Drosophila melanogaster: one gene and its partners. The protein of the gene in region 3 interacts with the protein of the main gene of each other region in a pairwise test. Each region holds a gene or a part of one and is shown on either strand. Other genes may lie near its edges. The genes, in order: Cpr56F, CenG1A, CG17233 and CG12655.

The links.
Region 1: the proteins of CG17233 (region 3) and Cpr56F interact in a two-hybrid assay, tested with the Drosophila melanogaster proteins (one large-scale study listed by BioGRID).
Region 2: the proteins of CG17233 (region 3) and CenG1A interact in a two-hybrid assay, tested with the Drosophila melanogaster proteins (one large-scale study listed by BioGRID).
Region 4: the proteins of CG17233 (region 3) and CG12655 interact in a two-hybrid assay, tested with the Drosophila melanogaster proteins (one large-scale study listed by BioGRID).

The regions. Positions count from the first base shown.
Region 1 is NT_033778.4:20,287,535-20,293,774, reverse strand, and holds Cpr56F (cuticular protein 56F), read left to right. Parts: upstream 1-1,829; 5' UTR 1,830-1,941; coding exon 1,942-1,947; intron 1,948-3,224; exon of another isoform or gene 3,225-3,342; coding exon of another isoform or gene 3,343-3,451; intron 3,452-3,545; coding exon of another isoform or gene 3,546-4,096; exon of another isoform or gene 4,097-4,230; intron 4,231-4,263; coding exon 4,264-4,911; 3' UTR 4,912-5,404; downstream 5,405-6,240. Other genes in the region: CkIIbeta2 (casein kinase II beta2 subunit), read right to left, coding at 3,343-3,451, 3,546-4,096; CG34199 (uncharacterized protein), read right to left, coding at 5,513-6,079, 6,137-6,148.
Region 2 is NT_033779.5:13,833,840-13,838,931, forward strand, and holds the start of CenG1A (centaurin gamma 1A), read left to right. Parts: upstream 1-1,724; 5' UTR 1,725-2,217; coding exon 2,218-2,593; intron 2,594-5,092. Other genes in the region: Polr2C (RNA polymerase II subunit C), read left to right, coding at 1-412; mRpS23 (mitochondrial ribosomal protein S23), read right to left, coding at 458-821, 883-1,044, 1,100-1,143.
Region 3 is NT_037436.4:20,238,032-20,243,514, reverse strand, and holds the start of CG17233 (uncharacterized protein), read left to right. Parts: upstream 1-1,996; 5' UTR 1,997-2,240; exon of another isoform or gene 2,241-2,396; intron 2,397-2,408; exon of another isoform or gene 2,409-2,462; intron 2,463-2,982; 5' UTR 2,983-3,019; coding exon 3,020-3,652; intron 3,653-3,901; coding exon 3,902-4,777; intron 4,778-5,483. Other genes in the region: Clc (clathrin light chain), read right to left, coding at 58-717.
Region 4 is NC_004354.4:19,957,545-19,961,165, reverse strand, and holds CG12655 (uncharacterized protein), read left to right. Parts: upstream 1-1,762; 5' UTR 1,763-1,798; coding exon 1,799-1,865; intron 1,866-2,265; coding exon 2,266-2,666; 3' UTR 2,667-2,773; downstream 2,774-3,621. Other genes in the region: CG43784 (uncharacterized protein), read left to right, coding at 2,941-3,196, 3,293-3,309.

The DNA of each region.
Region 1 (6,240 bases), on a different chromosome or scaffold from region 3:
TCATATTAGCCATTATGAAGTCAAGTCTTAACTGCTCTGCTATAATTTCTGTTTGTTTATTTGAATTTTTCGCATTCGCATATTTGCACACATAACTCCAAATGATCTTGGTAATTACAAAAGCTTGGCTGTATATTCTCTAATTTATTTTTATTGTGGTCTGTGGCAAGGTCGAGTATTACTTGCAGAAAATCACTTGGGGGAATACGCAGCGAGGAAGCAATTCCATCCCACCCCATCCCTTCAATCCCTTCAATACCTCATTAATTTCCAGCTCATTTGGGGCGTGGCTTCGCACGGCCTTTAAATTTACAACTCATAAACTTGGCATTATCGAATGTGAAAGTCAGCTCGTGCCAAATCGCAAAATAAGCAGGGTCCGTTATAACAAAATGATAAAAATTTTAATTTGCTACGCATTCGACCAATGAGCCAAAAGACAATTGACCAAAGAAATATTTGCAGATCGTGATGGATGCTACGCCCACTGTTTAAATGAACATGGAATATGGCAATAAAAATATTGAATTACTTTTCCCTATTGTCAAGTATTGTGTTCGAGTATTTTTAAAGAGTTCAAGTTTCCTTTGTTATGCAATCGACTTTTTAATGGGATAAATAAGTATCCAAAACTATTGAGCATACACATTTCAATACGTTTTGCAGGAAATGGACAAATAGAAAAAAAAATTATGTTATTTTTTTTAAATATGTGTTTATTTTAAAACTTATTTCTCTCTACAAATTATTTGTTTATAAAGTAAATATATAAATAAATTGATCTCATTTAAATTGGAGCAATGTTTCACCCATAAATGAATGTTGAAGAGATCTTTAGGTAATTTTGATTCGCAAAGCAACTACAAGCCGTTACTAATGCTCAGTTTAATAACAATCAACATTTTCGACACCAGAGCGTATCTTTCCCAGCAAGGAAGATAACGTATCTTAAAACTCTTTTTCCCTCGCTGTGCTCACAGCTCAATTGCAGCTTATCCGACTTGAATCCATGTCAACGCCAATCCAAACGGACACATTTGTGAAGTCGGGGGCATAATCCAGCTCATTAGTTGTGCTGAAAAACAAAACCGAGCAAAACCCAGCGAAAACTCCCACGCACTAAGGGGAAACAATTTGCAGCAGCATTGCCTGCAGCAAGTTCGTTGCCTGAGTCTTTTGTTTCTGCTTCGCCTTTCGAGGCGGCCGCCGCTGAAGCTGCCGCACGACTGAAGCTGAAGCCTCCGATGCGAGATGAAGATGCGTGGAGCAGCTGCCTCCGCTCACTTGGCTTTTGGACGCTACCGTCGACGTCGCTGCCCGCTGCCTGCTGCATGACTAATTCCATTACAAATAAGTGTTTCTGCTATTACACGAGCGGCAACAAATGTTTATGGCCTGCAGCCGCAGGAGCGCGGTACTCCCTCGTCTCATTTGTTTGAATGTTTGGCACTCATCTTCGCTCATTTGCCGAACCCGACCGCAGATACGAAGTCAGCATCGTCAAAATGTTTGGCGCTTTAATTTCCAAAGTAACTAGTTTACTATAACAAATCCACCTCAAGCGATTTCCCTCTTTTCTCGGCAGCACCACCGAGAGCGATTTGCTCTTCCTCAGCTCCGTGTGCTTTGCATTATTTTGTAATGTTTTTCAAGTGCTCGTTCGGCACTGTGGCACTCATTTTTTTCTCGACTAACCGAAAATTGAAATAACGAACTAAGCTGAACAAAAAACACACACATTTTGGCGCGCAATTTTTTGAAGCCGACGTCGACGCCGCCGCGTTAGCTGCTGCTCATTTCAAATATAAATACTGGCCTACGAAATTGTTTCAGTATCACAATCAAGTCAACCATCTTCGCAAGAAGAACACAGCCAACAGAGCAAAGTTAACAAAAACCGTTTTCGTGTGTGCCAAAATCCCAAACAAGTGACAACACAAAATGAAGGTATATAGCCGAATAGAACTTTCGAGTCAAGTGCCAAGTGGTGTGCTGTGTGAAAAAAAAAAGTCCTCACAAAAGGATATGGGCAGCCAAAACGAAATACAATGCCTCATTCGGCATTCGGGAAACGATATGACTAAAGGATATAAAACTTGAATAGCTATAAAGATCATTCAATATAGGTCCTTTATTAGATACAGTTTCGACCTTTTGTTAAATTTTCAAAGGATATTGAAGTTTGCTGTAGCTAACATACAAACAACGTTGGGTTACAAAATCTTAGAATGATCAAATAAACATCACAATATTTGCCCATATCTTTTTCTGCATTGCAAAGGTGCTAAAATATGTTCGAATTTTGTATTCATTTTTCTGTATCCAATCAATAGCCCTCATTTAAAATCGTTTTTGGCAATAGATCGATCAATCAATTAAACAACTCATCAAACTAATGAAGCTTTCATTGTCTCACATAGCACTTAATCAGCTAATCGGAAGGAAAAGACATGAAATATTAATATTTGAGCCATATTAAAAGTCAAGTTCAGCTGGGTGATTAATCAAGCGGAGATCCGCATAATAAATTTCATAAGTTGCCATCATCATCGCAGTTAAGATTACCATCAATTTGTTTAGGATAGCTACTGTTTTTTATGGTAGGTTGCGGAATTAGAACACCGATATCATTCGCCTGGGAAACAATTGCAACCAGCGATCCCAGTTCATTTCTAGGGTGTGGGTAACAAACAGAAGCAACAACAGCTGCCGCTGCTTGGGGTCATTTTGCAATGAATAAATTAGAGAAACTTTAAGTGGCGGAAGAAGAACTACTGGACATGCCCAAGTAAGGCAGTCTGGAGATGACCAGGCGGCGATAAAAAAAAAATACAGACAAAAGCGCAGCCAAAAAGCATAGCATTTTAACGCCAATGAAGCATGAAAGTCATTGACGGCCCTGTGCCTAAACACTCGGCCAGAAGATCTTTTGCACAAGATTCGGAAATAAGTTGTGTAAGAGTGAGCCGAAGTGGTTCTCCCACAGGTTGTCCGCGCCACACGGCGAATACTTAAGATTCAGACGCATTGCGCAAGATCACGAGATTAGCCCTTCACTTGCAGCCCAGCTAAATCCAATCCAATCCGATGGGAGCTTCACCTGGGACCCAATTACTACAGATTTGCATATGCCTCAGCTAAATGCTGTAAAGATGGGAAAGACAAAGCCAATTCTGGGCCTGCTCGCAGGCCATCAAATCCAAACAAAAGATTGTCAAGCGGGTCACAGCCTGAGCAGTTATTGTTATGAGAGTTTAATGAGCTGGCAGCCAGCCGGGCGAACAGTGCCCACTTATTCGAGAAGTACGCGACAGTTGCTTATGAGAAATTTTAGCTTTAGGATCAAATGTGGGATGGGCTATCGATTTCTCCTACTGGCGTCATTGTCACATCTTTTTGGATCTCAGCGGCAGTACGGTAGGCCGTGGGGTGGATTTTAAAGCCATAAAGCCTGGGAAAACATAGTTACATTAGTTATACATTATTAGTAACTACCTTAAAAACATAGGGAAATAGAAGGAAACACAGGAAACGGAAGATCTAACCTGGGCACAAACTTCTGCTTTGCCCGCTTGGGCCTAGCATCCGGTTTCTCCATAAAGAACATATGAGGGAATCCAGTGCCAAAGAAGGCTCCATCCAGATTCGAATGTCTCGACGCCTTGGGAATGTACACATCATTGCACTTGGGGCAATAGATGCGTACCATATCCTCGCCAGGATTATCACTCAAACCAATGGGCAGCACCGGCTGGCTATGGCAGAATGCACGTGGACATGTGCCGAATTCGCCCTTGTTGTACTTGTCCAACATCAGTTCGATGCCCCTGTTGGTTAGGATAAAGCGAGCATGGATCAAGCCATACAGTTTCTCTGCACTAGCCTCCAGTTCTGGTTCAGCGGGGTCTTCCGAAGCTGAACCCGGATTAAGATCCAGGATCACCTCCAAGGCACATTTGTAGTTCTTAACGTTCGAATCAAGAAAGTTAAGGTTAAACTTGTCCTGGATATATTCCTCATCCACCTCGCAAAAGAATTCGTTGCCACGCTGCTTGCAAAACCAATGAATCCAGGAAGATTCGTCCGAATCGGTCATAGCTGCTTCTTTTAAGCTTTAATTTAATCAGTCAAAATCACGAGAGCTTAACAATAGGACTTATTTAATTTCGAATGACAGCTGTCAGGGACGGAGTGTTCAATCAAGGGTTGTCAACTCAAAACGAAAACTGTAATGTAAATGCAACCCTGAATTTTCATTCCCAGGCTTTTACATCCATTGCCCTGCTCGTGTGCCTGGCTGCCTGGACCCATGCGGAACCACCAGTTCCCCAGAACCAGTACCTGCCCCCCAATCAGTCGCCTCAGGCGCCGTCCAACAACTACCTGCCGCCCACGCAGGGCTACCAGTCGCCGTCGAGCAACTACTTGCCACCCCAGCGGGCCGGTGGCAATGGAGGAGCGCCCAGCAACAGCTATGGCGCCCCCATCGCTCCTCCCCAGGGTCAATATGGTGCTCCAGCGCTGACTGGTGCCATCTTCAAGGGCGGAAACGGAAACGGAAACGGCGGCTATGGCGGCGGTAATGGCAACGGCAACGGCTACGGACAACGGGATGAGGAGCAGTATGGACCGGCCAAGTACGAGTTCAAGTACGACGTACAGGACTACGAGTCGGGCAATGACTTCGGCCACATGGAGTCCCGCGATGGTGATCTTGCTGTGGGCCGCTACTACGTCCTGCTGCCCGATGGACGCAAACAGATTGTTGAGTACGAGGCCGACCAGAATGGATACCGCCCAACCATTCGGTACGAGCAGGTCGGCAATGGCAACGGAAACGGCAATGGCAATGGTCGCAACGGTGGCGGTTATGATAGCAACGCGCAGCAGGGCAAATTCAACGGCTACTAAGATGGGGAAGTGAGGATACCCGATTTAGGTCGACCCCGCAACTATACTCGTCTACTTCATGGGATCGCTGGCCGAGTATTAAACGCACATCCAGCCAGTGGGCCAGCGATCGCAGTCAGTCTATCCATATAACCCTATTCCCATCTCTGTGCATACCCTTAGTGGGACGCCCGCCATTTTGCCATAGACAGGCGCGTTCCTTTCCGTTTCCGTTTCACTGCTGTTCGTTATCCTGTTTTCCGTCTCTACACCTGGAACTCCTTGCCGTTTTGTTTTGTTTAAGCGCCTTCATTTTGTGTTAGTCTACGCACACACTCCAACACACCATTCACCCACAACATGACCATTACGCATTCATACATACATGCATAAGGATTGTATTTAGTTTTTAAACGAAAATGGAAATTCGAAAGTGAAACGAACTTATGAGATTTTTGTGTATATTTAATAATTATTAAATGAATAAAGAAGCATTTTTGTATAAAACAAAGTCAAAAAGAAAAACCAAACTGTTTTTATAATTAACAAGATAATTCATTCTGAGAATTGAATACATTGCACAACTCTATTTTACATATTCAAATAGCTATATCCAAATTGCCTACTTCAGGACCCGCTCCAGTTGTCCCTGTCTGTTGTATCGATACACAGGATCCTTGAGTTGCCCCACAGTGGAGTAAGTCAACTGAGCCGTAAAATCATCTGCATCTGCATCTGCGTTTTGCTGGGAGCTGAAAGAAACTCTTTGTAGTTTATTGTCCTGCGAAATGACGAAGTAACGTCCCTCTCTGATTTTGGGCTGCTGATTGTCTACGATATTTTTTGCAGTAACTGGCTCCTCATCATCAGGATAAATGATTTTAAATTTCGGATCTGCCGGACCGTACTTGTTGGACGGTCGTGAGGTGGGCAAAATCTCTTCCTCGGGTATATCCAGTTGATTTGGAGGCAAATAATTTGGCTGGGGCTTTTCCACTGGATCGAACTGGTCCACTCGTGCCTTTGTGATTTCTACTCCCTGACTTGATCGGATAGCAGGCACATACTCGTTGGGTAAGTTGAATGGAATCTGCGGATGCCAACCAGTTGGTGCATAAGGTGCTATACGTCCACCGGTAAAATCCACTTCAGCTTGTACAATGGCCACAAATGGCAGCAGTAGAAGCAACTTTAGGAATGCCAAAAAGATTTACGTAAAAATGTTTATTAAATAGCCACATCATACCTTTGTCACCATTTTAATGAACGGCTCGATTGAAACTGCGGTGCAATATTTGGGATTTGCTCATTTTTATATTAAACAATTGGAACCATTGCAATATTTATCAT
Region 2 (5,092 bases), on a different chromosome or scaffold from region 3:
CAACGAGTACGGCGAGAGCAACGATGAGATCCTCATAATTAAGCTGCGCAAGGGGCAGGAGCTGAAGCTGCGCGCCTACGCCAAGAAGGGATTTGGCAAGGAGCACGCCAAGTGGAATCCTACCGCAGGCGTGTGCTTCGAGTATGATCCGGACAACTCCATGCGACACACTCTGTATCCCAAACCTGATGAGTGGCCAAAGAGCGAGCACACCGAACTGGAGGACGACCAGTACGAGGCGCCCTACAACTGGGAAGCCAAGCCAAACAAGTTCTTCTTCAACGTCGAATCCGCCGGTGCCCTTAAGCCTGAGAACATTGTGGTCATGGGTGTGCAGGTGCTGAAGAACAAGCTGTCAAACCTGCAGACGCAACTCAGCCACGAGTCCCAAAACGATGCATTGGCCGTTTGATTTACATATAACAAGTTTATTTTAAGTTTATAAAAGATGTTCCGCCTAATCCTTGAACAAGCTGTCTATGTTAATGCCCACGTTCGCTTCCTTTTTTCCCTTGGGAGCAGGTGGTGCTGGTGACGACGTGATTTGCTGGCTCACCACAGCCTCCTTGAAGTCGCTCAGCAGCTGGGACTTGGATTCCGAATCCTGCTCTGGCAGGCATTCCTCTGGGGTAGTCTCCAGGCGGGCCTGCTGGCGCTGCTCCGCCAAAAGATCCAGTGCGGTCTCGTAGATCCTTTGCTCATCCAGGGCTCCTTGTCCTTTCAGGTCCTGGTATATTTGGACAAATTGCTGTGACTGCGTGCTGCGCCTGTGGTCAAACAGGGATATCGTTTCCTGGGGTTTGTTTTCTTTATGCAGCTTTCTGTTGGTGTACAAGATTAGTTCAGTATTGGTATAAGCCCGACTGCAGGTGAAAAACATACGCTCGGACAACATCCTCGGCATAAAATATCTGGCGCACTGGAATCTCAGGCGCGGGTCTGTCGAATCGGGGCTCCAGTTTCGGCGGAAAGGCGGCGTACACATCGTACCAAATGGGTTTATCCTCGGTTTTCATAGCTCCACCGCGTAGGAGGCCCTGAACTCTGCAAGAGTCGGGTGTTTAAAGCTTGCACAGATATTTCGTAGGAGGGTAAATACCTGGTGAAGATTGTGCCAATCTTTTCAAGCCTACTTTGTGCCATTTTGGTAAAGTTTTAATTAATTAAATGTGTTTTTTAACAAATTACGATTACGACATGCAGTGCATGAACTTATCGGTAAGCAGCCGGTGCCTATCGATACCATCAGAGTTGCCGCTGTGAGCTTAACGGACTTATGGCTTATAAGAGCCTAGAGCGCTCCAATTGGCATTTAGACGGCAAGTGAAATATTTATTTTTTTAAATTGGTTGAATTGTAGTTACAAAGATATTGACTTAAAATCTATTCATATATATGGCACTTAATTGAAATAAATTAACTACATTATGTTACTATCGATACCAGTCCAAACAAATATAGTATTTATGTCTATTACGGTGATTTTTCTGGTTGGCGTTTTTGGTATTTCTCGTGCACTTCATAGTACAGTGCTTACTCCATAAGTGTAATATTCCGAATTAATCCCGTGATTACATGTGTGTCTGGTGTAATGAAATCACTGTACACTATCTAACCATTACTTGTAAATTAATAGTACAAAATCTTGTTAGTTAAAAATTAATCACCCACTTGAGTTGGTGGAAGTTCGCTCTGTAGAGTGACCACTGTACCTGCTCTTCATCCACAGTTTGTTGTGGAACGCCTCGCACCAACTACATACTTTTACATACTCGGCTGCGCTCGACGTAAATTCTCGCACTTTTCTGTTGGTTTCGTAGTAAATTTTCGCCTTTTCGCTGTCAAATAAAGCGCACGCATCGGGAAAAACGGAGAAAAGTGCAAAATAACTAAATATAAAGTGTATCAAATATAACTGTTAGAAAAATGCCATTTGATTGTGTACTGTAATAGCGTAAACAAAAGTGTTTTGATTGTTTGTGCAGGTGCAAAATCGATCTAGTGAACTGAAAACTGCGACTCCAAAATCGGTCGAGTTAGCGCATTTATTGCCCCGATTGTTGTTATTGGAAAATGTTGTTCGTTTGGGAAAACTGTGCCATCGCAATTTTGTAGTGTTCGTGCCTGTGTGTGTGCCGTGTGTGCGTGACGAGTGTATGTGCCAGTAAATTAAGTTAATTAAAAACTTAGCTAACTCTCGATTCCACCGCCCCCGCCATGAGTAACTACCATCCGCATTCGCATCCGCACGCGCTCTCGCATCCGCATCCGCAGCAGGTCCATAATCAGCTGCAGAATCCCCACCAGAACCAGTTGCCGCCCCCGCAACGCCATAACCATGCCGCGCCCACTGCAGCAGCCTCCGCCTCCGGAGCGCCATCATCATCAGCATCGGCATCGGCATCAGCATCTATCCTGGTGGCCCATCCTCCCCAGCCGCTCATCAGCAACTCGCTGGCCATCCGGCAGGAGATCCAGCGATTCGAGAGCGTCCACCCATCCATCTATGCCATATACGAACTGATCGATCTGCTGCCCATGGCCGATGCCCAGATAGCCCAGTCCATTCGGGACCATGTGGTCTGCATTGAAGGTAAGTCCCCCTCTATTAGTGCACCTAGTTTAATGATTATAATTAGTTACACTAGAGTTTAGCCATTGAATGGTAAAGCGGTTTCTGTAATTAGTTTTGCAATCAAAGTTTATGTTTGTCCACCTGTTTATACTGTAAATATTGCAGGCTTAACTTCCTATTAAATGGCAATAAGGAGATCAAGTGGCCTAATTGTCCAATTAGATATTGCTGAAAAGTTTATGATGTTTAGCTTAGGTTTCGAGTTATAGATTCTCATTTCCACCTGTTAATACTAAGTCTATCCAATTTGGGTCGTTACACTCTTTGTAATAAATAAATAAATGTGATTAGTATAGCATATAATGTTTATAAGATGTACGACCAAACCCGACTTAACCTGAAAGTATTTTAATGAATATATTTCAACGCTTAAGTGCTTGAAAGCAGCTGCACAAATGTTTTGCTAGAAAATAGGCTTTTAAACGTAAAATGTGTAAGTGCTAGATTCCAAATATAACAGTACTCTTATTATATATTTCGTTTGTTTTTTAATGGCTTGCAAATTTATGCACCATAACAAGGAAATGCTCTGCTTGTGAATTCGAAACTTTTGCTCAAGGGTCACTGGTTTTAATGGAGCATTCGGAGGTGTGCCCCAGAAATGATGAGCAACTAAATGTGCTATAAATTATGCAAAGACACAGTAAAGAAAAGGGTTTCAAAGTCGGAAAGTGGAGTCTATCGTGACTTTCGATGGACTGACTGGTCGTCCCATTGAGTGTGTCAAGTCGGCGGGAAGAGATGCGAATCCTTTGATTAAACATGTTTATCGCTGCAATTGTATCCACACCTTCATTGTGCCCCTTATCGCGAGCGTCTGGACTTGTGGTTGCCTTTGTTTGGAGTGCTTTATGCTAATCTTAGACCGAAAATCTATGAGGCAACATCAACCCCCGGTTGATGGCGAGGATTATTGTTGCCAAAATGCCCATTCAAGCGGATCGCAGCGGGCCCATTGAAAGTGTTGTCGCTCTGTTCATGGAAAAGAAAGAGCTTCGTTTTTTGTTTAAAACAAGCTTTTCTGCCCAATTTTCAGCATGTGTGTGTGTGTGTGTGTGTGTTTGTATGCGGGGACTGAAATTTGATGCCCTCTTCCTCTTTGTGGCAGGCAGCAAAACTGAATACTGAAAACTGAAAACCGTTCACGAAATCAAACCGAAAACCGGTTCCTGAAATGGTTTATTAGAAAATCTCTGGCAGAGGCAGCAACAACGAAAGGCTCACCAAAAATGTAAACAAAATTGTCAGAGGCAGCGGCAGCGGCAGCAACCTCATGAATACTCGAATACTCCACTCTGTGTCGTGCAAACCAGATATGTACGAAACCCGAGAATACGAGAGCGTACGATCTCGTAAACCGTTTCGCACGCGACTTTCTTATTGGCATTGACCCGCAACACGGGCACATTGGTCCAATATGTACAAATATATACATATATAACTATATCGAATACCGATTCTAATTCGCTGTCAGCGTGATGAACGATGCTTTCGTTGGACTCTGGTTGCCGTTTTCCCGTTCCAAATGCTTATTTATAGGTTTCGGTAACGGTCTCCAATAAATCGAGAAGGTCAAAAGTATCTAACGAAAATAAATAAAAGAAATTCTGTGCTATCTGTTCGTTAACCTTTTCATTTGAAATCGATTTAGAAGCTATATAGCATAAATAATCATACAGCAGCTTACTATACATAGCTTACTACTTAACAAATAAAAACGTTTATGGACAATAATCTAAAGAATCGATATAATCTCAGAACTTAATGCCCGTTTTTTTTTTTTTTTTGGTTAAGAGCTCTTGCGTTTAAAGTGCCCCCTTAATATTGTAAGCTGCTGACTCACCGAAATCAGTTCGAGTCTTAAACCACATTTAACTGCTAAGATGTCATTGAACTTTTAGCGAATCAAAGTTTAGTTACATATTTAAAAGGCACTCAAGAAAAATAATGTGTTGCTGATTATTTACGAATGAGATTTTTATTTATGTATCTTATAGAATTTGATGCTTCCTCAGCGAGATTTGTAATCCAATTAGGCCAAGGCCTTGATATTTTAGACAAAATTCAGCAACAATGGCTGCTTAAATATTTCTGTAAACTGCGTACTATTGTGTGTGTGTGGCTACATGTGCCGTCTAAAATTAGCATATGAAGCTATAAATGGGGATCCATAAACAATAGAAAGGCTGTGCATTGAGCTTCTAGTAAATTAAATCGATTACACGATATCAGCATATCAATGGCAATTTTTACTACAAATTGATAATTCCATTAAGGGGGGTGTTCGTTTGGCTGAACATAAATAACCTACCTGGAATTCTTGTTCGATTGTTCGCGGTGTTTATGCAAACACAAAGGCGTGTTGTCTGTTTGGTTTGTTTGTAAATAGCCAAGTAATAGTCGGCCCTAAAAACAACAACAACAACGGCAGTCAGTTGAAATGCCGCTGGCGGTAGT
Region 3 (5,483 bases):
AATAATAATTTTCATATTCAACTCAATGTGGTTAGGCGAGTGCGTAATTAAAACTACCTAGGTGCTCTTCTGCACCTGGATGGGATTCTGCTTGAGGTGCAGGTAGATGGATCGCATGCGGGAGACGTCCTTTCCCGCCTTGTTCACCTTGGGATTGAAGTCGCAGAGCTTGGCTATGCGCTCCCATTCGGTGCCCGGCTCGATGGTGCCATTCTCCAGGGTGGCGGCTTGTTTCTCGGCATTCCGCGACGCCAGTTTGGTCTTCGATATGGACTCGCCAATCTGGCGCAACCAGTCGTCCAGCTCCTTCTTGGACTGCTGTCGGAGTTCCTCCTTTTTTCGCTCCTCCTCGATGTCCTTCTCCTCCAGTCGTTGCTTTTGCTCTTCGCGCCATTTGCGTATCTTTTCGGGCTCTTCCCGCGACGGCGGCGGACCGGATATGCCCACGGGTTCATTGGACTCGCCACCAATGACCTCAAAACTGCCAGTGGAGGATTCGAGGCCACCCGTGCCGCCAGCAGAGAGCAGATCGCCTTCGGAGGCGGTGCCTCCCAGAAGCTCACCCAAGCCCTCGTCTGTGGATGCAGCCGGAGGAGCTGATGCAGATCCACCCGTAATCTCCGCCTCCAAGTCCCCGAGAGCTGACTGTTCGCGCGCCAGGAACTCGGCCGCCGGATCCACGTCCTCCTTGGCAGCGAAATCGTCTCCGAAGTCCATGGCTATGTGCTCTCTGGAAATGTTGTGATTGCTATTTAGTGGGCGTCTCACCCAGATTTACACGTACGCAGAGGAGCAGCCAGCTGCTGGCGGATTCCCCCCGATTCATTGACAATTGGGCACTACGCACCTCTCCTTTGATTCGGTTAGGACTAATTGAAGATCGGTGTGGGCGGATGACTAACCGGAAACTTGGTCAAATGTATTTTTTCAGTTTTCTTTTAGCAATGAATACGTAAAATGACTGTCATTAGTACGTGAACCAACCATAAAACAGCGGGCTATCGAACTGGTTCCAGCCGAACAGTGCTGGATAATGCAACATATATCGCAACGCGATGGTTTTAAATTTAATGTTATGATTTTTATATTAAAAAATAAATATTTTTTTACACCAGTTATTATGCCAAATCTTTTAAATGTATACAAATTAGTAATATTTAAGGAACAGAAACCATTGTTAACTATTTTACTTGTCAAAGCCGAATTCAACATTCCTTAACATCACGGATAACGAGTTAAAGATTTAGCTACATTTTGTATTATTAAGCTACAAGTTTATGATAATGTATGTTGAAAAAACCAAAGTAAGAACATTTAATTTTTCCTTAACTAAACTTTTAAATTATATCAGCAGCGTCAATTTTCCACTGGGTTTCTGGTCAATTAGTGTTGCAAAATGTGTAATGGTGGTGGCTTGATTCGTTCATATATAATTTAGAACCGTACATATAGTTAATAAAACCTAGATTTAATATAATATTTAAGTTTGGAATTATTTTATTTTTTTTTTTGTTTTCAGATTTTGTAAAGTTCTCATGGTTTTTGAAATCAACTAGTTCCAATTGATCAGTGTTAGGAAACGCGCGAGTTCAGTAAACACAACCTTCAGAGGAGTTACGATTAATTTGTTTATATCTTATCAAATGTGCCTTAATAAATGCTCGTAAAATGTAAATACACAACAAAGTTAACTAGTAATGACTGTAGACCCGATAAAAAGCGTATTATACAACACTTGTTGCTATTGCATAGCACATGGGAATATAATTGCTGGTCAAATTTCACGGTGAATTGTTCACACAACATGACTTAATTATGTTTTTGACTAACCTATGCCACGAAGAACACAAGACGCAGTATACTTTTTGAGGAAATTAACAAAGACGAAATGCGAGGACGACGGCAAAACAAACAATAAACACTCGGCGCGCGAACTAGTGAACCGATGAACAAGTTCACCGTGGCATCATTCACCTGAGCCAGTGGTTCGTTTTTCACTGGCAGCAGAGCGGCCATTTTGGAGATTGTTTCATCCACAAAAAAGTTATGCACCGAATCTAAAAAAAAGAACGTTCGCTGTTAGTTAAACATAAAATCCGCTCGTGCATATTGAAGCGTTGTTGTGCTGGCCGATCCGATGTGAAGATAATGCTGGGCCCGAGCAGACCGACAGTTCCGATTCTATAACGACTAAAAGTTAGTGACTATCTTCCAACACGCACGCATGTACGCCCGTGTGTGTGAGTATGTGTGTGTGTGTGTGTGATTGTGTGCATGGATACATATATGTACAAGCGGAAAATACGGGAAAAAATCCTATTCCCAGGCAGAAAAACATTGCCAAAAACAGCATAAATCCCAGCCAATGTGATGGCCCCGTCATTGTAATGTCATAAGTGAGCACCCACATTAACCCATTGACGCTGAAACTTCAAAAATGCGGTCTCCTTGCCGCCGAGCGCCAAGGCAAAAAATACAGACGCCAATTTTTTTGAAGGGGGAACCAAGCGCATCGTGGCCAAAAGGGATACAAAAAAAATGAAGATACGAAAAAAATAGGGGGATCCCTTCAGTGCAGAAAAGTTGGGGAACAAACACCCCAAAACTGGAGTGTTTCATTCTAAAGTGTACTTCTACTATGTGTTTATTGATTTACAATAAAAGATAAACAAAATATGTTTGACCACATATAAATATCAATAATTTTATAGTAATTATTATTGATCCATAAATAACATTAATTGAATTCGCGCCTTTTTCCCCTCTATATTATGAATGCCATGGCAAGCAACTTGTGATAACAATATAAATATGTTATAATCTAAGCTACCGCTAAATTGATAAATATGGGCGGGATTTTTAGACTTAACACATGACCATTGGAAATGTATCCGAGCAATAATAAACTCCAATTAGTTAATCCTTTACATATAAGCCGCTAATTATATTCAAAAACCACTAAAGTTTTGCTATTTGTTTCAGTTACCAGCCATCAGCAGTAGAAGAGCCCAAGCCAAACATGGATCCCAATTCCAGTCCCTGGTCATACGCCTACAACCGCATCGTGCCCGCCAGTGCCGGAAGCTCCGGCGGAACAGCAGAGGACTTCCAGCATCCACACCTGGCCACCATTACGGCAGCAAGCATCGCCAGCTTTAATGCGGCGGCCGCCAGTGGTGGCAGCTTTGTGCCTCCGTCACCGATTGGCAGCTACAACCCAGTATTCCAGCAGATCTACCACCATGCGGCGGCGGCCAGTGTCCAGCCTAAGCCCGCCCACTATGCCTCGTCAGCGGTGAGCACGCCGCACCGCCAGCTGCAGCTGCCCAGTTCGCTGGACAAGCAGCTCAGTTCGTTCCAGAACCAGGCGGCCGTGTCGGCGGCAGCGGCTGCTGTAGTCAACAATGTTGCCTCGAACTATTACGGGGAGAACTCCTCGTCGAGTGGAGCCTCACCATCGCCCACAACGGTGGCCCTGACGTCGACGTCGCTGACCTGGAACACGCCGAACATGATATCGAACACCTTCCTGGCCATGCAACAGCAGCAGGCACAGCAGCAACAGCAGCAGGCACAACAGCAGCAACAACAGGCCCAACAGCAACAGCAGCAGGCGCAACAGCAACAGCTAAACCTGGTGGCCGACAAAGTGGTGAGTAGAATTCGTTTGTTTTACGTTCGGCTTTCAGATCACTCTTCTATTATGGTTTACGCCAGCTTCTGGGGAAGCACACACACTTATTAAAACCCCGCAGGCTCTATCGCATTTATCGCATACTAACATAACATCCCTTCCAATAAACCCATCAAAGCATAGACTAAGTCTAGCCTCTCTATGTCGAATCAATCCCAAACCAAACACTTTCCGATTCCGATTCAATCTATGTACGGTGCGCTGTAGCAGATTAAGCAGGAAAAGCAATTAAAAGCCTACAACGACTCGATTTACCTGATCCAACTGCAACAGCAGCAGCAGCAACAACAGACAGCGGCGCAGCAGCAACAGCAGCAGCTCCACCAGCAACTGCAACAGGAGATCGCCGAGGCAGACACAGAACCGGACACCTATTACACCATTGATGGCCGGAAGGTCAAGGTGACGCGGAAGGATGGCCAGCCGTATCGGGCAACGATAGTAGACCAACAGGATGCCAGTCCGGTGCCGCTGGCAGTGCCAGTTCCGGCGGGATCCTATCCGGTGCAATATGCCAGTCCGGCGCTAAGCTCCGCAGATGGATCGCCCATCACGAATTTACATGCGGTGGACGTGGTCAGCACACCGCAGGCCCAGGTGATCGTCTACAAGACGGCATCCCCTGTGCAAAGGCGGCAAGAAGCGGGCGCTGGATCGTCTGCTGCTGCCACACCCACCACGGTGGCCTACTCATCTGTGATACAAAGCACCCTGCAGCAACAGCAGCAGCAGCAGAACCTCTGCTGGACGAAGCTGGAGGACAATGGAGCGGGGCAGGAGGACATTAAGAACGTGCTGCAGCTGCAGGTGAAACAGGAACATCGGCAGCTCGATTTTGCCAGTGAGGCATCCTCAGTGGACGCCGGTGGTGGTGGCGAAAATCTAGTTTTCAACCTACCGCCCGGGCTGGAGATCAAGCAAACCTTCTATCCCGCGAGCGTGGTCGATGGGGAGCAACTGCAGCTGCAGGAGCACAATCAAAACCAATCCCAGTCCTCCGGTCGGCGCCAGCACGTGGTGGCCAACATGATCATGTCGCCGTCGGCGGGCAACTTAGCGTCACAGATTCAAGTAGTGCCAAAGGTTTGTATTTAATTTTTTTTATTTCCGTTTCTATTTGTTTATTAATTTGTTTGTGTTCTGCCTTTATTTCGTTTTATTTGCTTTTCACACTATTTCTTCCAAGATTTTGCCAACTTAAATGGACTAGTTTGGAAGATCTCTTATTTAGTTCCACTGTGCGCTTTTTCTTTCTGATTGGCTAAAAATAAATTTGAATTAACAAAACGTACCTTAACAGACTATTGGTAGCTTACATAAAAAATCTCATTTGGACGCAAAATTTCCAATATTTATTTTAATTAAGAATTTGAAACCTACATTTATAGAAGTACTAATTAGATTTTCTTGCTTTCAAATACTAGAAGTATCCAGTTTCCCGAATATAAGGTTATTTCGTTAAAGCCCTGTTCTGTAGCTTTATATTTTAAAAAAAATTTGCATGCCCTTTCGATTATTTCTTGTATTATGGTGGAAGCTATTTCTTTGGCCTTCTGTTATTAATCGCTTAATTTGAAATTCTTCGGTTCAATCTAACAAAAACTGCTAACTGATATTCTCTAGTTTAAAGTCATGTGGCCACTTTGAAACTGTGACGTTATGTTGTAATGGTATGATCCAATCCTAATGGGGGTAAACCCAAGCACCAAACGCGTATGCCGCTCGCAGCCCAGTTGTTAATACCCCATAAAATGTTCTGGGAGCAGACTGTTCTTTTTACCAGCCAGTG
Region 4 (3,621 bases), on a different chromosome or scaffold from region 3:
AGGGAGCGAGTTGAACCCATTGCCGGAGAACGTGGTCCACTGCGCAGGATCTGTTTGAACGGTGGCAACGCTTCGCGCAACGAGTTGCCAGACAATCACAGTGCCCTTCAACAAGCTATCGGTTTAACCCACGTAATCGAGTATCCAAAGCTAACGATTCTCGTAATTCTCAATTAATCAGCTAAATTTGAATACCAGTTACTCGTAGAGTAGAAGGTTATACTAGATTCGTTAAAAAAGCATTGTAACAGGCAGAATGAAGCGTTTCGAACTATATAAAGTATATATATTCTTGATCAAGATCAATAGCCAAGTCGATCTAGCCATGTCCGTCTGTCCGTATCTGTCCGTATCCGTAGATCTCAGGTACTATAAAAGCTAGAAGATTGAGATTCAGCATACAGCTTCTAGAAACAATGAATCCTGTGCGAGCAATGGCTATGAATAATGAACGTCAATGAACATGTCAGTCGAATGACAAAGTCACTATTCAATTTCACTATCTTCGGCAAAGCAGTAAAAATACAAGCATAAGGTATTGAATAGTCCATTAGCATAACCCTATCGGCCGACCTAAATTGCTTTACGTCACAACTGAGAAAGCAAACAATTCGCACATGCCCACCAATTGTATTGTGAGGCTTTTCGTTTTCTACATACATGTATGTACATATGTATATGTATGTTTGTATGTATTTTCCGTCGAACGGTAGCCACAACGTACCTGCATTGTTTGCCCGCCTCCGAACGCCACTCACCTGAAAAGTGCGAAACGGACGGACAACAATACACACATATATAAATATATATATATATATATATATTTGTTTATTTATATGCATATACAACATGCATATGTTAATATTTAGAAAAATATGTATGCAAAATATACTTGGTCATAAAAGATCAACGAAGGTTCGAATACAATTCGGGCGATCATCAAAGCACTGTGACTCGGCATTCCCCATTCGCCAGAAGATCTATGTACATATATGTATGTATGTATGTATCTCGACTTCTGGGGCAAACCAACATGGGAGCACACCTTAACCCAAAATGACCCCGGCCCGTGTCGTGCATATCATTAATGACCCAACCAATTATCGTGTTCTATACAGCAAAAAAAAAAAAAAAAATAACATCTCGACACTCGAACATGAAAGCACTTGAAGTTGCGTGTTCTCGTTTGGGAAAATAAAGTACGACCGCGGTTTTATGTTCTTTGATCGAAAAGAAAATAATCTCATCTGCATGTGGAACAAATAAACGATGAATGGATATGAACAATAAGAAGAATTAATACCACTAGTATAGCTAAATTTTATTTTGAGGATTCCTTAATAAAGCAGACGCAAATTAATTGAGAAAAGTGCGTCGACTAAAAGATACCCATTACCTGCAGCTAACCGAAACTATTTTGTTAATCTCAAGTCACAAGTCATATCTAATTACAGAGTGAGATAAATACAGGTTGTAAACTTGTAACAGAGAAAATTTTTGTGCAATTCGACTATATGATACCTAGTGGTAATATTTTACCCAAAAAGATTTAAGATGTTTAATCTGTTGTTTCGATTTTCGATTTCAGTGCTAAATAAAGTGCCTATTTTGATCATACCCCACCGAAACTACAGCTCCATTCAAATTGAGTAAATAAACACCAAATAATATGACTCAGGGCAGCAGAAAATCGCTATTGTTACTCATAACATGAGAGCCGAGCTTGGGAATCGAGTTTAAAACCGTCAATGGCACTTTGGAAGCGGTTTAGTTGAAGTCAAACGCGCATTCGGAAAACATGTCGAATTTCAATCGCATTCTGATCGTCATTGTTATCGGATTGGCACTAGTTCATTTTAGTGCTGGTGAGTGAAACGCTAACAGAACATATGAAAAATCGCACAAAAAATACGATAAATAAACATACGTATAAACCTCAGCGGCTTTTCCATGGAAAATAACACATCGCATTCGCACACACGATACCATTTCGACGGTGCCAAGTAAACAAATTCAATTTCAACTTCTAATGGAGAATTAAGCACTGCGATATTATCAGCAAATTATTGATCTCTTCTATTTGAAACCAAATATGAAAGCAAAATTTTTAAACTATTTGATTTAAAATGTGTAATAGTATTAGGTCTCATTTTGATAACGACCATGTAGCATGTTTGGTCCACGAGAAGTGGCGGGTACATTGTGGTCAAGGAAAGTTACCTTTTACATGCGTTACTAATTCAAGCACATTTCATTTGAATCCAGTGGATGCCCAGGCCGGAACGGTGCACTGGAACAATGGAAATGCGGCCGGCGTTGGCGTCTATTCGAGCGCCCAGTCCGGCGGGATGCATCCGCCGGGAAGTCTGAGTGGCCAGGATCCGCAGTTCAGCTACGGATACGCCGGCATCGATTCGCGTGGTACCTACGGTGGAGCGGGTGGCAATGGAGCCTACTACGTGAGCGGTACGGACGAGCACGGTCGTCCCTTCTCCTACAACAACCAGGTGGGCCATCCCGGCCAGCCGGGCTACATGGGCGTACGGCCGGACCCCAACTACCCGGGTACCTATGGCTACCAGAATGGCGGAGCAATCATCGGCAGCTCGGTGGGCGTCACCGTGACCATAGCACTTGGATTGGCCTTGGGCGGCATGAGATTTTGATGCGGTTGCAGTGTGGGATCGTTTTTTTTTTTTGTGAATTAGTCTCTAAGCTTAATTTATGTAAACTTTTCAGTTGTGTAAATTCTTTACTAAATTTACTAAAACATAGAATGCTTTTTACTGGAAGGTGGGTTGTTGTCAGAATGAATTAGTTGATTTGATTTTGGTAAGCCCAGAAGGCTTAGAGAACTACATTGAACATTACTAAACAAAAATTTATTCATAATAGTGAAAGTTTAAATTATTTTGTAAACGAAGCAAATTTGATATTCAAATGTCGCAAAAAAAATCGAATATTAGCCACCTGGTGATCCAGTGCATCGACGCCATGGGTGGCTTTGCCTCCAAGGAGGTGATCCTAAAAGCGGTGAGCACAGCTACAGACAAGAAGTTCTGGAAAATGGGAAGGCGAATTGATGACGCCCTTGATACGCTAATCGTTGATGGTGTGATCCGCACACATAACGACAACTATTATTTAAACATGCTAGAGGAAACAGCAAGTGCCAGTCACTGTAACAGTGGCAGTGGTAAGTAATCTTCGCATCAATGGTATGATTGGTGTGAAACAGTTAAAAGGCAGGTCATATCAAATTTTGTAATCAACATTTACATATTATTTACAGATTCAGATTCAGATTGAGTTTGGATTAAGAAGGTAAGATATATTAGAAAGGCATTTCGTCCATATAGTAAGACTCTTCTTTCTTTCCCAGAATTAGCTGATAAGCTCGAAAAATTCGGATGTATTCAAATTGTTGTACAATTATTTGCCATTTTTAAGAAGCTAAAATTATAAGTGGCAGGCCTCACTAAATTCAAACTTTCCAAGTGAAGCGATGTAAATTCATTTCGTTGTTTTGTTAGGAATACAATTACAAGGAATTTTTTATTCAACGTTTATATGAATGTACAATACATAAATAAATACGATTCGTTTGCACGTAAGATCGTG